Linked DNA regions of Macaca fascicularis. The protein of the gene in region 1 interacts with the protein of each later gene in a pairwise test. Links are inferred from orthologs where the notes say so. Each region holds a gene or a part of one and is shown in the gene's direction. Other genes may lie near its edges.

Region 1 (7,910 bases):
TTTCACAGAGAGTGAGCCTTGGGTAGTGAAATGATACCAGATTTGGAATCAGAAGTCCTGGCGCTTGGCACAGGTCTGCCCATGGCTGAGGATGACTCTAGGACAGTTACTTCCTGTATGGGCCTCAGCTTCTCAGATGTTAAGGCCCACGACTTCCCCCACCACGTGTCTTTATAGGATGTATAGATAGAAAAGGCCTGTGTTTACCTATTTGCACATTAGCTCTTTGCATTGGTCTTGACATTTTACTTTTATTTCATCATTTTGTTGCATGTACTATATTTTTGTGAAAACATTCAGGGTGTAAATAAATAACACATTCACCATTTCTTCCATAGATCCCAGCTCTCCTGTTGGCTTCGTGCTTGGGGTAGATCTTCTTCACATATTCCCCCTGGAAGGAGCAACTTTTCTGTGCCCTGCTGATGTGACTGACCCGAGAACCTCACAGAGAATCCTCGAGGTGCTTCCTGGTGGGAGAGCAGATGTGATTCTGAGCGACATGGCGCCCAATGCCACAGGGTTCCGGGACCTCGATCATGACAGGCTCATCAGCCTGTGCCTGACCCTTCTCAGCATGACCCCAGACATCCTGCAACCTCGGGGAACATTCCTTTGTAAAACCTGGGCTGGAAGTCAAAGCCATCGGTTACAGAGGAGACTGACAGAGGAATTCCAGAATGTAAGGATCATCAAACCTGAAGCCAGCAGAAAAGAGTCATCAGAAGTGTACTTCTTGGCCACACAGTACCAGGGAAGGAAGGGCGCTGTGAAGCAGTGAGGATTTCTTGTGCCATTTTCATAATGGTCATTAGCTTCTTTTAAGCTCGAAACGTAGCCTGAGCTCCTTCCGGAAGAGTTCCTGGGAGATCTGAGCTGATTTTGGAGATGGAACAGGACAAGTGGGGAGTCTCTTTCTTTTTTTTTTTTTTGAAACGGAGTCTCGCTCTGTCTCCCAGGCTGGAGTGCAGTGGCGCGATCTCCACTCACTGCAAGCTCCGCCTCCCAGGTTCACGCCATTCTCCTGCCTCAGCCTCCCGTGTGGCTGGGACTACAGGCGCCTGCCACCGCGCCCGGCTAATTTTTGTATTTTTAGTATTTGGGGTTTCACCGTGTTAGTCAGGATGGTCTCGATCTCCTGACCTCGTGATCCGCCCATCTCGGCCTCCCAAAGTGCTGGGATTACAGGCGTGAGCCAGCGCGCCCGGCTGGGAGTCTCTTTCTTTCTCTCTCTCTTTTTAACCAAAAAGAGATGACAAAACTAAGTTCAGGGGCCATGGAAAATGAAAAAGTCCTCTATATTGATTTGTGAGGAGAAAGTTATCAAGAGAAAGAGGTGAGGATGGAAGGATGAAGAGAGACAGACTGTGGGAAGAATCAGAAGGAATCCGCTGAGGCAGGGATGGGTGTGCCCATGTGTGCCTTGACGGGACTTCATCTTACAGACTGTTAAACTGTCACACAGAAACAGGCTTTCCACTGCTCCTCCCAGAGCACCATGCACAGGTTTCCAGTTCTTAGTGTGGCTATTTAAAGTAGAAAATCTGGGGGCTGGGTGAGGCCACTCACACCTATAATCCCAGAAGGCTGAGGCTGGGGGATTCTTGAAGTCAGAAGTTCAAGACCAACCTGGGCAACATAGCAACACCCACTGTCTCTACAAAAATGAAAAAACAAAAAACCAAACCAAAAGAAAAATCTGAAATTTCCATCTGGGGATTAAATTCTTTCTTTCTGGTGAGTAATCTAGAGATTCATGCATTCTTCAAGCAGCAGAAGTTCCCAGAGCGATTAGGGAAGACGTATGGTCTGAATTTACTCATGCACTGGGTGTGCTTTGGTTTTCGCTGGAAATTTGTATCTGTGTCTGGACTCCCAAGAACATAAAGGTAATTGCCAAAGCAAGCAGTGATGTGGTGTGTTTATTTTCTTTTACTCTTCTAGGAACTCGATGCAGCTTTATATTTATTTATTTATTTATTTATTTATTTATTTATTTATTTAGAGACGGAGTCTCGCTCTGCCACCCAGGCTGGAGTGCAGTGGCCGGATCTCAGCTCACTGCAAGCTCCGCCTCCCGGGTTCACGCCATTCTCCTGCCTCAGCCTCCCGAGTAGCTGGGACTACAGGCGCCTGCCACCTCGCCCGGCTAGTTTTTTGTAGTTTTTAGTAGAGACGGGGTTTCACAGTGTCAGCCAGGATGGTCTCGATCTCCTGACCTCGTGATCCGCCCGTCTCGGCCTCCCAAAGTGCTGGGATTACAGGCGTGAGCCACCGCGCCCGGCCGCAGCTTTGTATTTAATAAAATAGAAGTTGCATTATTGTAAGGGACTTTCATGCTTTTAAGTTTTGTTTTTTTAAAACTGGCTTCCTCAAAGCCATTTCCTGGAGGTGTACTCATCCCTCAAGAAGTGTGTTGACTGTAACTATGATTCAATTCCAAGCACCAGTGCGGTAAGTCTGGAAACCCAGGAATCGCCATCAGGGATCTGGGGCTTGGTCCAGCTCCCCAAAGGAAACTGCAGGTCAGATGTTTTGACTTGTTTTTTTTTTGAAACGGAGTCTCGCTCTGTCGCCCAGGCTGGAGTGCCTTGAAACGGCTCACTGTAAGCTCCACCTCCCGGGGTTCACGCCATTCTGCCTCAGTCTCCTGAGTACATGGGACTACAGGCACCCACCACCAAGCCCGGCTAATTTTTTTTTTTTTGTATTTTTAGTAGAGACGGGGTTTCACCGTGTTAGTCAAGGTCTTGATCTCCTGACCTCGTGATCCACCCGCCTCGGCCTGCCAAAGTGCTGGGATTACAGGCGTGAGGCACGGCGCCCGGCCGCCAGATGTTTTGGCCTTTCATTTTATTTCTGGTTGCAGTCAGGTAGTTAAGTCCAGGGACTCTCTTGCCCTACTCCACCTCGTTCTCATTCCCTTTCATTTCCGGGGCACACAACTTGGAAGTCTTTTTCTCTGGAAGAAGAAAAATTCAATGTAGACCCTTAGGAACAGCATCTTCTTAGAGGGAAGCCAGGGACTGGGCAGAGGTGGGAAGAAGAGAGGAGGCACACTCTTCTCAGGAAGGCTCCAAATTGAAGGATAGACGAAGGTTACCGTAATAATAGTGGGGCCTGACCTCACCCCGTTGGATTTTGTGCCTTGGCTTGCAGAGCATTAGGAGGTAGCCTAGTAGCATAAATTGCATTTCTAGTGGGCCCAGATAAAAGCAAAATAACGGATTGATTCAAGCTGATACTGAGTAGCAAAATTTTGGGAAGAGTCAACAATGCAAGTTTGTTGCAGGAGGCTGCTATGGGCGCGGCTATTCCACACATTACGGCGCGAGGCGAAAGCCTTAGTGGAAGCGCGTCCTGCGCGGGGTCGGGGACCCCGACTGCGCCTTGGCCCGGCCTTCGGTTCCGAGTCCTTTCCGTGTGTAGTCTCCCGGGGGTGGCGGCTCTGGGTGCGGGCACGGAGGCCCCAGGACCAGCTGGTGCGAAGACTCGGTTCTTTACGGCCCGGTTCCCACCCAGGTCTCGCGAGAGCGCAGGCGCAAGTGTCGCGATAAGTGGGCGCGGGCGGAGCGGAGGGAGATCCGAGCGGCGGCGGCAAGTGGGCTGCGGGAGACTGAGGTGAGCGGCCCGGCCTTCGCGGGCGGCGGGGTTCTGGGGTCCTGGGGCCCCGGGGGTGGCAAGGGCGGGGCCGAGGGCCCGGACCGGGTGTGCCCGCCAGGGTGGGGCACAAGGACCCTGGACCCCGTGCCTCAGGACCGCGCGCCCGCCCCGCCTCCCATGGGCGCGCTCCCCTCTCTGTGCTCTCCCCTCCTCTCTCCTCCTCTTCCCACTCCCCTGTCCCCACTCCGCTGTCCCCACGCCCCACTTCGGGCTGTGCTGGGTACAGCGGGCCCCTCGCCTGGGTTTCCGCAGCCGTCCCTTGTGCCAGGGCGGGCGGCCGAGGGGCGCGTGCTCGTGGCCCCAGCCCCGGGGTCCGGGTGCCCCCCGTGGGGGTCCCCGTGCCCGCCGTGGGGGTCTCCGGGCTAGGGTGCCGGCGCGCCGAGGAAGGGGCCTGAGCTGGCGCCTGGTGGAGAAGTCGGGGCTGCAGGGGCTCTTGGCATCCTCGTGGCTCGCGCGGGCCCGCTCTCAGGAAGGGGGCGTGTGGGCCCGGTTTCCCCTCGGGGATGGCAGGGGTCGCCCTGGTCTCTTCTGGGCAATGGAGGAATTGGGCTGTGGAGCCTCCCTGCAGGCGGGCCTGCCTCTGCGGGGCTCGCAGCCTGGGGAGCTCAGGGCTCTGCTTGCAGCAGGCCGAGGTTCTTGTTCAATGGAAACTCAGAAACTGTGCAGCTGCAGGAGTTCTACCTTTGGTTGTTAAACGCGCTTGGCTGTTCCCCTTGTTAGGGCTGGTGGGCCGGCCTGCCGTGAGACCATCGTCAGCGCAGGTGTTAGGGGTGCAAAGTTCTTTGCTGCTGCTTGTCTTCAGCCTTCCAACGCCAGACAGACCCAAGTTCCCAATCTCCGTTCTGTAACTTTTTGAAGCTTCAGTTTCATCATCTCTAGAATCTGTGTAAAAAGACCTGATTCACCACCCTGTTAAGATTGAGCTTACAAATGTAGTGCTGGTCAACCTGCGGCTGCATTCCCATTATCTAGCAGTGGAAGACTTGAGGGATATTGACCCCATTCCCCACAACTTTGCAAGTAGATTTCACTGTCATGAGTTGACAGATGAGGAAGCTGAAGTTCAAGAAGTCTCCGTGCTCGGAAATGTCAGATACCTTTCTTTCCAGTACCTAGTTGAAAATAGTAGTAGTACTTATTAATGTCACTAGAAATAAACAATGAAAATTAGCACAGCTGTGATGATCATCTTTACTGTCACTGTTGCATGCCTCATTTCTGATTCCCAGAGGCCAGACTTTTTAAAAAATTAATTATTATTATTTTTTGAAACGGTGTCTTGCTCTGTTGTCCAGGCTGGAGTGCAGTGGTGCGATCTCAGCTCACTGCATGCAACCTCTGCCTCCTAGGTTCAAGCAATTCTCCTGTCCCAGCCTCCGGAGTAGCTGGGATTACAGGTGCATACCATATCCGGCTTTAATAGAGACAGGGTTTCACCATGTTGGCCAGGCTGGTCTCGAACTCCTGACCTCAGGTCATCTGCCCGTCTTGGCCTTGCAAAGTGCTGGGATTACAGGCATGAGCCACAGTGCCTGGCCTTAATTAATTAATTAATATTTATTTATTTTGAGGCACAGTCTTACTCTGTTACCCAATCTGGAGTGCAGTAGTGCGGTCTCAGCTCACTGCAACTTCCACCTCCCAGGTTCAAGCGTTTCTTGTGCCACAGCCTCCTGAATAGCTGGGATTACAGGCGCGCACCACCACACCCGGCTAGTGTTTGTATTTTATTAGAGATGGGATTTTGCCATGTTGGCCAATCTGGTCTTGAACTCCTGACCTCAAGTGATCTGCCTGCCTCCACCTCCCAAAGTGCTGGGATTACAGGCGTGAGCCATCCCACCTGGGCAGGAGGCCAGACTTTTTTGTGAGTGCTCCTGGTAGTTAGTTTCAGGCATCAGCTGACTGGATTCAGGAATTTCTAGAAACCTGGGAAAGCATCATTTTTGTTTCTGGGTGTGCCTGTGAGGGTGTTTCCAGAGGTGATGAGCTTGGGAGTCTGAGTGGACCAGGTGCTGAAGATCCACCCCCCAGTGTTGGGGGCACCATCCAAGAGCCTGGGGCCTGGAGAGGACAAAAACAGAAAAGACGAATGTGTCCATCTGCCTGCGGGAGCTGGGATACACCCTTCTTCTCCTCTCCTCAACAGCAGCACTCCAAGCTCACCGGCCTTTGGTCTCCAGGACTCGTTCCAGCAGTTCCTCGAACTGAGAATTACACCATCGGCCCCCCTGGCTCTGAGGCCTTCAGACTTGGACTGTGTCACACTGCCAGGCTTCTAGGGCTCCAGCTTACAGACGGCCTGTTGTGGGACAGTCTCCCTAATCGTGTGAGTCCGTTTCCCTAATAATGCCCCTCTCGTGTGTCTGTCTCTGTCCTGTTGGCTCTGTCTCTCTGGAGAACCCTCTTACAGTGCTGTGGGAGGACGTGCCACCTGAGTGCTGAGCTCCGCCTCTTGGGCGCCAGCTGTCTGTGTGCAGCTGAGACTCAGTCGGTGGCTCAGTGGCGGGGATTTGGTGGCATGCTTTCTTGCTTCCATTTTTTGTCTGGTAAATTGGCAGCATGGCTCCCAGTTGCCTTTGAAGAATGTGGTTACAGACACTGGTGTATTATGGGCTCCAATGAGCGTTAGGGGAGTGGGGATGTCCAGAGGCCCCGCTGACTGCACAGCTGATGGCACGTAGAAAGGCTGGCCCTGACCAGTCCTTTGTCTGTTCCCAGAAGGAAAGCAACCATGGAAGACCTGGGGGAAAACACCACGGTTTTATCCACCCTGAGATCTTTGAACAACTTCATCTCTCAGCGGGTGGAGGGAGGATCTGGACTGGATATTTCCACCTCGGCCCCAGGTTCTCTGCAGATGCAGTACCAGCAGAGCATGCAGGTGAGTGGCATGTGCCTGGGTGGGAGTCTTCTCTGGGGAGACCCCTGGGCCCAGGCAGGGCCTGTTCAAGTGTTCTGTAGTTGAGGTGGGTCAGTATTAGCTCAGCCTAGAGACCAGCTGCTCATCTTCCAGGCCTCACTGTGGCCACTTCTCGTTTTGGGGCAGTAGCTGGAGGCTAGTTGGGGCCCTGAGCCATCCTGGCTCGAAGGCCTGCCTTGTTAGCACCCTGAGTGGGCCTGGCGCTCAGCATTGCATTCACACAAGTGCACCCACAGACCCTGGTGACAGGATCGGAAAGCCAGTTCGTTCATCTAATTGAGGACAGAACCCAAACTGCCTGGGAGTGTGAGCAGCAGGACCGTCGGGCAGGCTGTGTCGGAAACACAGTGCGGGAGTGCCCGGCAGCCCAGAGACAAAGCCACAGCCGTGAGCAGAAGGACGGGATGTTTTGTGGTCTCAGGCTGTAGAGGGCCATTTTCAGATTTTGGGGTGATTTTTACGGATTTCTTCTATAAAATAGTTGTATTTGGTTTCGTTACTAGTTCTTGGGGGATTGCTCACTGTAGACACAACTGCAGAGGACTCAGGTCTCCTGAAGGACTTCAGGATCCAAAGAGTGATGGGCCCAGCCCCACGTGGGGCTGGGATAACGGGGCCCCCGAGTGGTGGGGAGTGGAGTGCTGGGGAGTGCTGGCAAGTAGTGTCTCCAGCCTTGCCTGGGCCCTGTGGCTGCACAGGCTCCTCTAGACCCCTCTGCCTGGACCCTCTTTCCCAGTCCCTGCTGCAGGCCCCAGAGCCATTCTGTAGTCCTGTGCCCATTAGAGGAGGCTCTGGCTTCCTGTGCTCTCAGAGCCCAGATGAGGCCCTGCTGCATTTGGTAAAGCTGTGTGTGTGTGCATTTGTTTTGTTGCATAATTGAATTAATATGTGTTTATTAGAATGCTAGCTTGTGGCTGGATGTGGTGGCTCACGCCTGTAATCCCAGCAGTTTGGGAGGCCGAGATGGGCGGATCACGAGGTCAGGAGATCGAGACCATCCTGGCTAACATGGTGAAACCCTGTCTCTACTAAAAATACAAAAAATTAACTGGGCGTGGCACCTGTAGTCCCAGCTGCTCGGGAGGCTGAGGCAGGAGAATGGTGTGAACCCGGGAGGCGGAGCTTACAGTGAGCCGAGATCGCGCCACTGCACTCCAGCCTGGGCGACAGAGCGAGACCCCGTCTCAAAAAAGAAAAAAAAAAAAGAATGCTGGCTGCTAGCTTGCTTACTGCCGTTTCTTCATGAGGACAGTTTTGTATTCTGAGATTAGGTCACGTGTATATGTGTGTGTATGTATATATGTGATATGTATATGTAAATGCT
Region 2 (7,705 bases), on another chromosome or scaffold:
ACTTCCACCATGTCAAGGCCACCATCACATCTTGTTTGGAATGCTATAGGAATCTCCTAAGTCCCATTTTTACCCTCCCTCCTACCATCCACCCTCTCTCCAAAGGCCACTCCATACAGCAGCATGTGGATGCATCTACAGTAGAAGGCAAACTATGTCCCTCCTTTGCTCAGAAACTTTTAATGTCTTCCTATTTCCCCATGTAAAAGCCAATCCTCAACCACAGTGTAGAAGGGCTATCCATTTCTAGCTACATATCTCCTCAGTCACTGCCCCCAGCCCCAGTACTTGGAGACTTTTCCCTTGCAGTTCCCTCTGCCAGCAAACTCTTCCTCCAGATGTCCACATGACTCACCCCTCTCCTTCAGGGGTCTTCTCAAATGTCACTTTACCACAGGTGGCTTCCCTGACCATCCTGTATAAATAGCATCACCCCATCTCCTGTCTCTCTCTCTACTGGCTTTTAAGTTATTTTTATTATTATTGAGACAGGTTCTCACTCTGTCACCCACGCTGCAGTACAGTGGTGAAATCACGGCTCACTGAAGCCTTGACCTTCTGGCTTCAAGCGATCCTCCCACCTCAGCCTCCCAAGTAGTTGGGACTACAGGCGCACAACACCACACCCAGCTATTTTTTTTATTTTTGTAAAGACAGAGTCTCTCTGTGTTGCCCAGGCTGGTCTCAAACTCTTGGCCTCAAGTGATCCTCTTGCCTCAGCCTCCCATATTGCTGGGATTATAGGCATGAGCCACCACACCTCACCTTATTATTTTTTCCTAACGCTTTTATCACCCAACATATTTTGTTTACTGACTTCCTTTGCCCACTAGAATGTAAGCTCAGCAAAAAAAAGTCACCTGCCGGATCCCCAGTGCCTGGTATATGGCAAGCACTCGGTATTTTTGTATAATAAGTGCTCACTATGTGCCCAATACTGTTTTAAGGAAAGCATTTACTTAATCCTCCCAATAACCTGAGATAGGCATTATTATCATCACCATCATCTCTGAGTATAACAGATGAAGAAACTAAGGCACAAAGAAGTTTAGTAATTTTTCCAAGATCACATAACTAGAGAATAGTAGAGCCAGAATTTGAACCCAGGACACCGACTCTTTAACTCCATCACATATTGTATCACCCTTATTGTGTCACTCAGTTAATGACAAAGAACTGCTGCACTTTAATGCTTCTTCTCTATACCAGACTCTCAGAAATTGATACATACTAAAGTGTGCTTTCAAATGTCAATAATTTCCTATAAGTGCCTAATATTTTAAAATATAATAAAGTGTGATTTTGAGCTAAGACTGGTAAACAAAGTGTGCTGCAGCCACAAGCGTGCTGCGCTTCAGCCTCTAGTTCGAGAACCACTTCCAGAGGATATGACTGAGGCTTACAGGCGTGTGTAGGTAATTCTCCCTGCTCACCTGAGATTACCATGATTAGCTCTGGTCCATAAAGGGAAAACTAAGACACAAAAGCCGCAGAGATGTTCTAGGCCACACAGCCAATTGCAGTGACTAGAAAGAAGCCCGGCGGCGAAGGTAAGCTGAGATGGCGAAGGTGAGCTGAGATCGCGCCACTGCACCCCAGCCTGGGCGACAGAGGGAGACTCCGTCTCAATTTAAAAAAAAAAGGAGCCTCTGAGGGGCCCTCTGGGACTGCAGTAGGTCACACATGCTCCCTGCTTATTAGTGTAGAACGCCCCGGTGATTCATGCAACGGAATGTTTCAGCCAAGGATGTCACCTAATAGAGGATATGTTGATACAGCTTTATCTGAGAAGTTACATAATCATCCTAGTGTGGAAATGCCATAAAGGAATTTCTGGCTTGAATAAAAGAGGTGTGTATCCCCTGGGAAGTACTCCATGAAGGGTATGAGGAGATTTTCAGTGAGAAGCTTACTACCCTAGACTGGGCAAGTGACTTGTTAAAAACAGGGCTCAATGGAGGCTCCCTGAGGACAGTGACTGTGCCCAGTTTGATTTGGTAAGGCTTAGACTCCTGTCCGAGAGAGTCCAGGGAAGCCCAGACCTGCCTGTCCTTCCACAGGGAAGAGAGACCTTTCTGTTTCTAGCCTCCTGGGATAGAAAGGTCCCTACCTTGAGTCCTCTCTGCTTCGTTCTTTCAGGTCACACATTTATTTCTGCAAGCCTTCAGACCTTCCATTCTCTTTCTGCCCTAGAGAGCAGAATGAATCCTTCCCCCGATTTTGTTGGAATTCTCTGAAAGAAATCCTGCCGAGTCTCCCACTCTGGAATACCACCCCCAGCACCCAGTCTTCCCTCGACCTCGCCTCCCACCGCCCCACCAGCCCCCAGGACGTGGCAGGAGGAGGAAGGAGGCTGGAGGGAGTGGCGCCGGTGGCACGAGCACCTGTCACCTGACCTGCTCGGGCCCTTACTTCTCCAGCCCCGGCCCTGCCCACCCTCTGGCCGGTGTGCGCCGACAGGGTCCCCGCCCTCCCGGACCGGGACAGGCCCGTCCCTCCCGCCCCGGCCTCCGCCACCGTCCAATGGCCGAGGGGCAGGGCCCGCTGAGCAAGCCGCGGCAGCCCCGCCGGGTCCCCGCCCTGTTCCCGGTTCCCAAGCCGGGCCCCGGAGGCCTTTAAATGCTGCCCAGAGCCGACGCGGCACGGCCCTTGCCACCTTTCTTGGTCGGGCAGCGGCAGCGGTAGCAAGCAGCAGCGTCGGTCCAGGTCCGGGGCCGTTCCGGGCCGCGGCGAGCACCTTGGCCCTCGCGTCCCGCGCTGCCTCCCTCCCCTCCCCTCCTCCCAGGCCCTGCCTGCCAGGTCGGCGCCGGGCCCCGGGCGTGCGCGCGCGCGCCCCCTCGTGTGTGCGCGCGCCCGCGCCAGCTCGGACCCGCGCCCCCGCCCCCGCCCCGCGCAGGACAGCCCCGGGATCCCCGCCCGCGCGCTGCGTCCCACGTACCCCGCCGCGCCGGGCAAGAAGATGGCGGGATCGGTGGCCGACAGCGATGCCGTGGTGGTGAGTGTGGCAGGGCGCGCGCGAGGCGCCCCTCCCCGCCGCCCCGCACTCCGCTGCCGCCTGCTCCAGCAGTGCTGGGGTGCTGAGAAGCCGCAGGCCTGGCCGGCGCCCCCCGCGTGGGAAGGCGCCGGGTACCTGTTAGCAGCCGCCGGCTGCGCGCGGCCGGTGTTGGGGGCTGGAGAGGCTCCCGGGCTGCGGGGCTCTGGGCTGGGGAGGGAGTTTGGGGAGGATGGCGGGGTGGGGGCGCCCGACAGCCCGATCTGTGCCGTGCAACCGCCAGCCAGGTGTGCGCGTGGGTGAGTGTGTCCGGGGCGCGCGCCCTGCCACCGCCCCCGACGTCCCGGGGAATTCCCCCTTGGAAATGGGTCGGCGCCCGGGGCTCCCGAGAGAAGTTGAGCACGGCCGCTCCACTTCAGCCACGTCCCGGAGGACAGGCCTGGCCCACCGCGCTTCCAGAAGCGTTTGCGGTTGAAGAGGGGCCTGCCCTCCTCCGGCGTGGGGCTCTGGCTCCTCGGTGGACCTCGACCTTGATTTTGATCTGGATCTGAAGGGTCTGCGGATCTTCAGAAGCTTAACCACCGGGTGGAAAGGATGGGTTTTTTTCGGGGGTTATGAGATTATCTAAGAGACAGTGAAGAGGCATCATCGGCAGACACTGTGTGCGTGTGGAAGACTGCTGGATTCCACCACATCTGTGTGGGTTCTTCCTCCAGCCCCCCAAAAAAGAGCCCATGGAAAGCCAATCTGTGTGCTTCTATTTTTAGAAACTAGATGATGGCCATTTAAACAACTCTTTGGGCTCTCCAGTTCAAGCGGACGTGTACTTCCCACGACTGGTAAATGGCTTTGCTCTGTGTTCTGTGTCTCTGCCTGTACCCTCCTCCTTTCTCATTGCTTTTTAAAATTTTATTCGTTTGTTTATTGCATTTTCCAATGGGTCAGGCCTTCAGGATCTGAGGTCTTGGCTCTTCCCTAACAGGCTGTGAAACTCATTTTTCTTCTCCCACCCTTTGCAGATAGTTCCATTTTGTGGGCACATTAAAGGTGGCATGAGACCAGGCAAGAAGGTGTTAGTGATGGGCATCGTAGACCTCAACCCAGAGAGGTAAGGCAGAGTCTTTACAGAACTATCAGGCTGTGGCTGAGCCCTGCCCACTCCTGTTGTGGTTTAGCACTCCTCCTCTTCCTCTCCTTGTGCACAATGTTGCTAGTTGCCAGTGCCAAGAAAGTACCATGTTCCCATGAAAAGAATGTGTATGAATCCCAGCCATCATTTCTCCAGACAGCTATTTATATCAGAGATTATAAATATAGGCCCACATTTTCTCTTTGACCCTTAGGGAGGCCAAAGGATTTTTTTTTTTTTTTTTTTTTTTTTATTTATGGTTTTGAAACATGGTGCCAGAAGCAAGAACTATCAAGATGAATAAGAACCCAACTTAACATTATTTCCCGTGGTCAATTTCTGTGGCTGTTTTTGAGAATTCCGAAGTGGATTAAGACATAGATGTGTGGTCGCTTTGGGGTATTTGAAATCGCTAATTTTAGTCATTTTCACCTCCACCAAAGTTTTCGCCAGAGCTTGCTTTAGGTAACAAAATAAACTGGTTTGACTTACTTCTCCATAATCTAACCTCTCTTGAAGAGTAGTGGCCTCTTAAAAACGGGCAAACCCAGAGGAGGAACAGGAAATATAAGCACCTGGGTCATTTTGAAATGTTTTTATATCCAACCCTGAATCAATGAGATGATTTTCTTTTCAGCTTTGCAATCAGCTTGACCTGTGGGGACTCTGAAGACCCTCCTGCCGATGTGGCAATTGAACTCAAAGCTGTGTTCACAGATCGGCAGCTACTCAGAAATTCTTGTATATCTGGGGAGAGGGGTGAAGAACAGTCAGCAATCCCTTACTTCCCATTCATTCCAGACCAGCCATTCAGGGTGAGTACCTCGAGTGCCTCGGCTCCAGCCACTGGCAGGGTGATAATGTTCGACTTACCTAGTGTGTGCCAAGAACACTTGAAGCGGCCAGAATTTTTGCATGTCCAGGAAATTTGTCACCCAATGGTGAAAAAAAGATCAAAAGAGCTCTGTTTGCTGATGTAAATTAACACTTGCCATAGTAACTGTTAGTTCTATTCAGCTCACACATTTAAATAGACCCATATTTACGTGACCAAATTGTTAAGAATAAGTAACTTTTCTATGTAGTACCCAACATATAGTAGATACCTACCCCCAAATATCTGATTGATTAATCAATACTAATAAGTACCCACTTATTAAATATTAATAAATATTAATAAGGTTGAGAGCTACTTATTAGCTCTCAGCCTTATTTGTATGACATTTTAAAGAATATGATGATGATCATTTCATTTTCTCTTGTTCCCTTTGCTAATGAGGCCATGTTTGTGTCCTTGTTTCCCGCTCTGGATTAATTAACCGCAGTCTATTTCACGGTTACAGACTGGCTGACAAATTCCTTCCCTTGGGACTGGATGAATAAAGATTTGCTCCCCACTATCTTTTGGGCAGGAAGCACAATCCAAACTTTTCATTCAGTCAAGCAACATTAGCAGCACCTTCCTCTATGAAAGGCAATGCCAAATAAGAGATGCAAGTAGTGGCACATTGGCTTGTGCCTGTAATCCCACCACTTTGGGAGGCTGAGGCAAGAGGATTGCTTGAGCAAAGGAGTTCAAAACCAGCCTAGGAAACATAGCAAAAACCCTGCCTCTTTAAAAAAAAAAAAAGATTAGCCTGGTGTAGTGTCACACACCTGTAGTCCTAGCTATTTGGGAGGCTGAGACGGGAGGATCGCTTGAGCCCAGACATTCAAGGCTACAGTGAGCTATGGTTGTATCACTGCACTCCAACCTGGGTGACAGAGCAAGGTTCTGTCAAAAAAAAAAAAAAAAAAGGAAATGCAAGTAGTAATGGTGTTGAAAAGGGGTCAGACCTAGTGATGAATTGTCATTACACTTTCACATTACATCACAATAATGACAACTCAGTTAAAAGCTCCATGTTACATATGAGCCCAATAAAACAGAACTACACTTAACTGGTTACCCTTCATCTAGAAATTTTCAAGTGCCTCATGAAGAAGTAATTATTTCACTTCCCTTCTTACATTCTGAGGGGAAAATAAGAATCCATGATTTTTGCATCAGTGGTAGCATTGAGATAGTTGCCCTTCTAGTTATAGTCTCTGGAAAGCACCCTTGACCCATTCTCTCTCCTCACCCCCTTCTCTAGAATGGTGATGTCCCCTTGGGCTCCTCTTGGTGAGGATAGTTTCTCAGTGATGAACCTTAATGCATAGCTCATGAATGTGAATAACCACAGCTTCTGACTGCCAGGAGGAATATAATGCTCCCAACAACAAAACTGAAGTGAAATAGGCCTTTCTTGGTGATAAAATTTTAGTAATATGAATTAAATGTGACTAATAGCACATATGGAGCCTCCTTACATGGTGAATGCCAATGCTTTTAATAAACCCATCATAGCACACTACCAGTAATTAAACTTTATGGTAAATTACTTGAGGAAAAAGCTTTTACCTTATGGAACCGGTATTTCTGTTTGACTCAACAAAACCTTGTTAATTACATGTTCTTTGTCCAGTGGTAATTACTATGTGTAACCTTCTCTCTGCCTTAGTGCTTAGCATATTTTGAGTGTCTAGACTATTATGGTCTTCTACTAATGGATGCCAGTTCTGCCTTGTGAGGGGCCCTTCTGAAGGTGGAATAGAATAGTTCAGGGGATGACAGTGGAGGCATTAAGTGCCATATAAACAAGTCTATGCTACTTTACATCACTTTCTGGAGTATAGGCAGAAGGGAGATATGTTAAAGGAATGCAGTTTTAAATCTTTAAAAGGTATTATATTGAATAGTGTAGAGCAATGGTTCTCAAAGTGGGTTCTCTATTCTAGCAATATCAGCATTACCTTGGAACTTGGTAGAAACACACATTCTTAACACCTACTGAATCAGAAATTTTGGAGGTAGAGCCCAACAATCTGTGTTCTAACAAGCCCTCTGCAGGTTTCAATGCATTCTAATGTTTGTGAACCACTGAAGATACTGCCTTTTTTTCTCTAAAATGAAGTATTATTTGTTTTCCCCAGTAGGGTTCATTGAAATTGTGGACTATTATTTTGTTTCTTCCAGGTGGAAATTCTTTGTGAGCACCCACGTTTCCGAGTGTTTGTGGATGGACACCAACTTTTTGATTTTTACCATCGCATTCAAACGTTATCTGCAATTGACACCATAAAGATAAACGGAGACCTCCAGATCACCAAGCTTGGCTGATTTAAACCACCTCTATTTCAAATAGGATCACATGCCACAACTGTCTTGACTGTTGGTCTGGAAGAAGTGTCCTAGCAAGATCTGGACACTTAAAAAGAAAACAAAAACAAATGGCAAGCTTCACTGTCTCTTCTTTTGTACAGTTTAAACCCAAAATGACAACTTCAACCGTGGTTTGCCCTTAAGAAGAAAGCTGTTGGGACAAAGACACCGAGCCATTATACCCAGAATAAAATAATACATTTATGCTGGATTTTATTCAGACCACACTAAAATGGATTTGTGATGATTTGTGATTTGGTAGCAAATTATTCATCTTTTCAAAGCAAGGCAATGCTTAGAAACAGAAGTGCTAAAGACACTTGAAAAGCCAACAACAACG

What was found.
Region 2: the proteins of MAD1L1 (region 1) and LGALSL interact in binary tests that used the Homo sapiens proteins (3 or more experiments, as listed by UniProt). The two-hybrid records come from large-scale screens. The link is inferred for Macaca fascicularis from reciprocal best matches to the Homo sapiens genes MAD1L1 and LGALSL.

Annotation. Positions count from the first base shown.
Region 1 is NC_088377.1:35,704,677-35,712,586, reverse strand, and holds the start of MAD1L1 (mitotic spindle assembly checkpoint protein MAD1), read left to right. Parts: upstream 1-3,547; 5' UTR 3,548-3,621; intron 3,622-5,812; exon of another isoform or gene 5,813-5,815; 5' UTR 5,816-5,992; intron 5,993-6,384; exon of another isoform or gene 6,385-6,387; 5' UTR 6,388-6,397; coding exon 6,398-6,547; intron 6,548-7,910. Other genes in the region: MRM2 (rRNA methyltransferase 2, mitochondrial), read left to right, coding at 339-781. UniProt on the Homo sapiens protein: Component of the spindle-assembly checkpoint that prevents the onset of anaphase until all chromosomes are properly aligned at the metaphase plate.
Region 2 is NC_088387.1:57,467,090-57,474,794, reverse strand, and holds the start of LGALSL (galectin-related protein), read left to right. Parts: upstream 1-2,644; 5' UTR 2,645-2,938; coding exon of another isoform or gene 2,939-2,959; coding exon 2,960-2,995; coding exon of another isoform or gene 2,996-3,405; intron 3,406-3,759; coding exon 3,760-3,831; intron 3,832-4,011; coding exon 4,012-4,100; intron 4,101-4,758; coding exon 4,759-4,936; intron 4,937-7,179; coding exon 7,180-7,323; 3' UTR 7,324-7,705. Other genes in the region: uncharacterized protein, read right to left, coding at 2,939-3,405, 7,205-7,251. UniProt on the Homo sapiens protein: Does not bind lactose, and may not bind carbohydrates.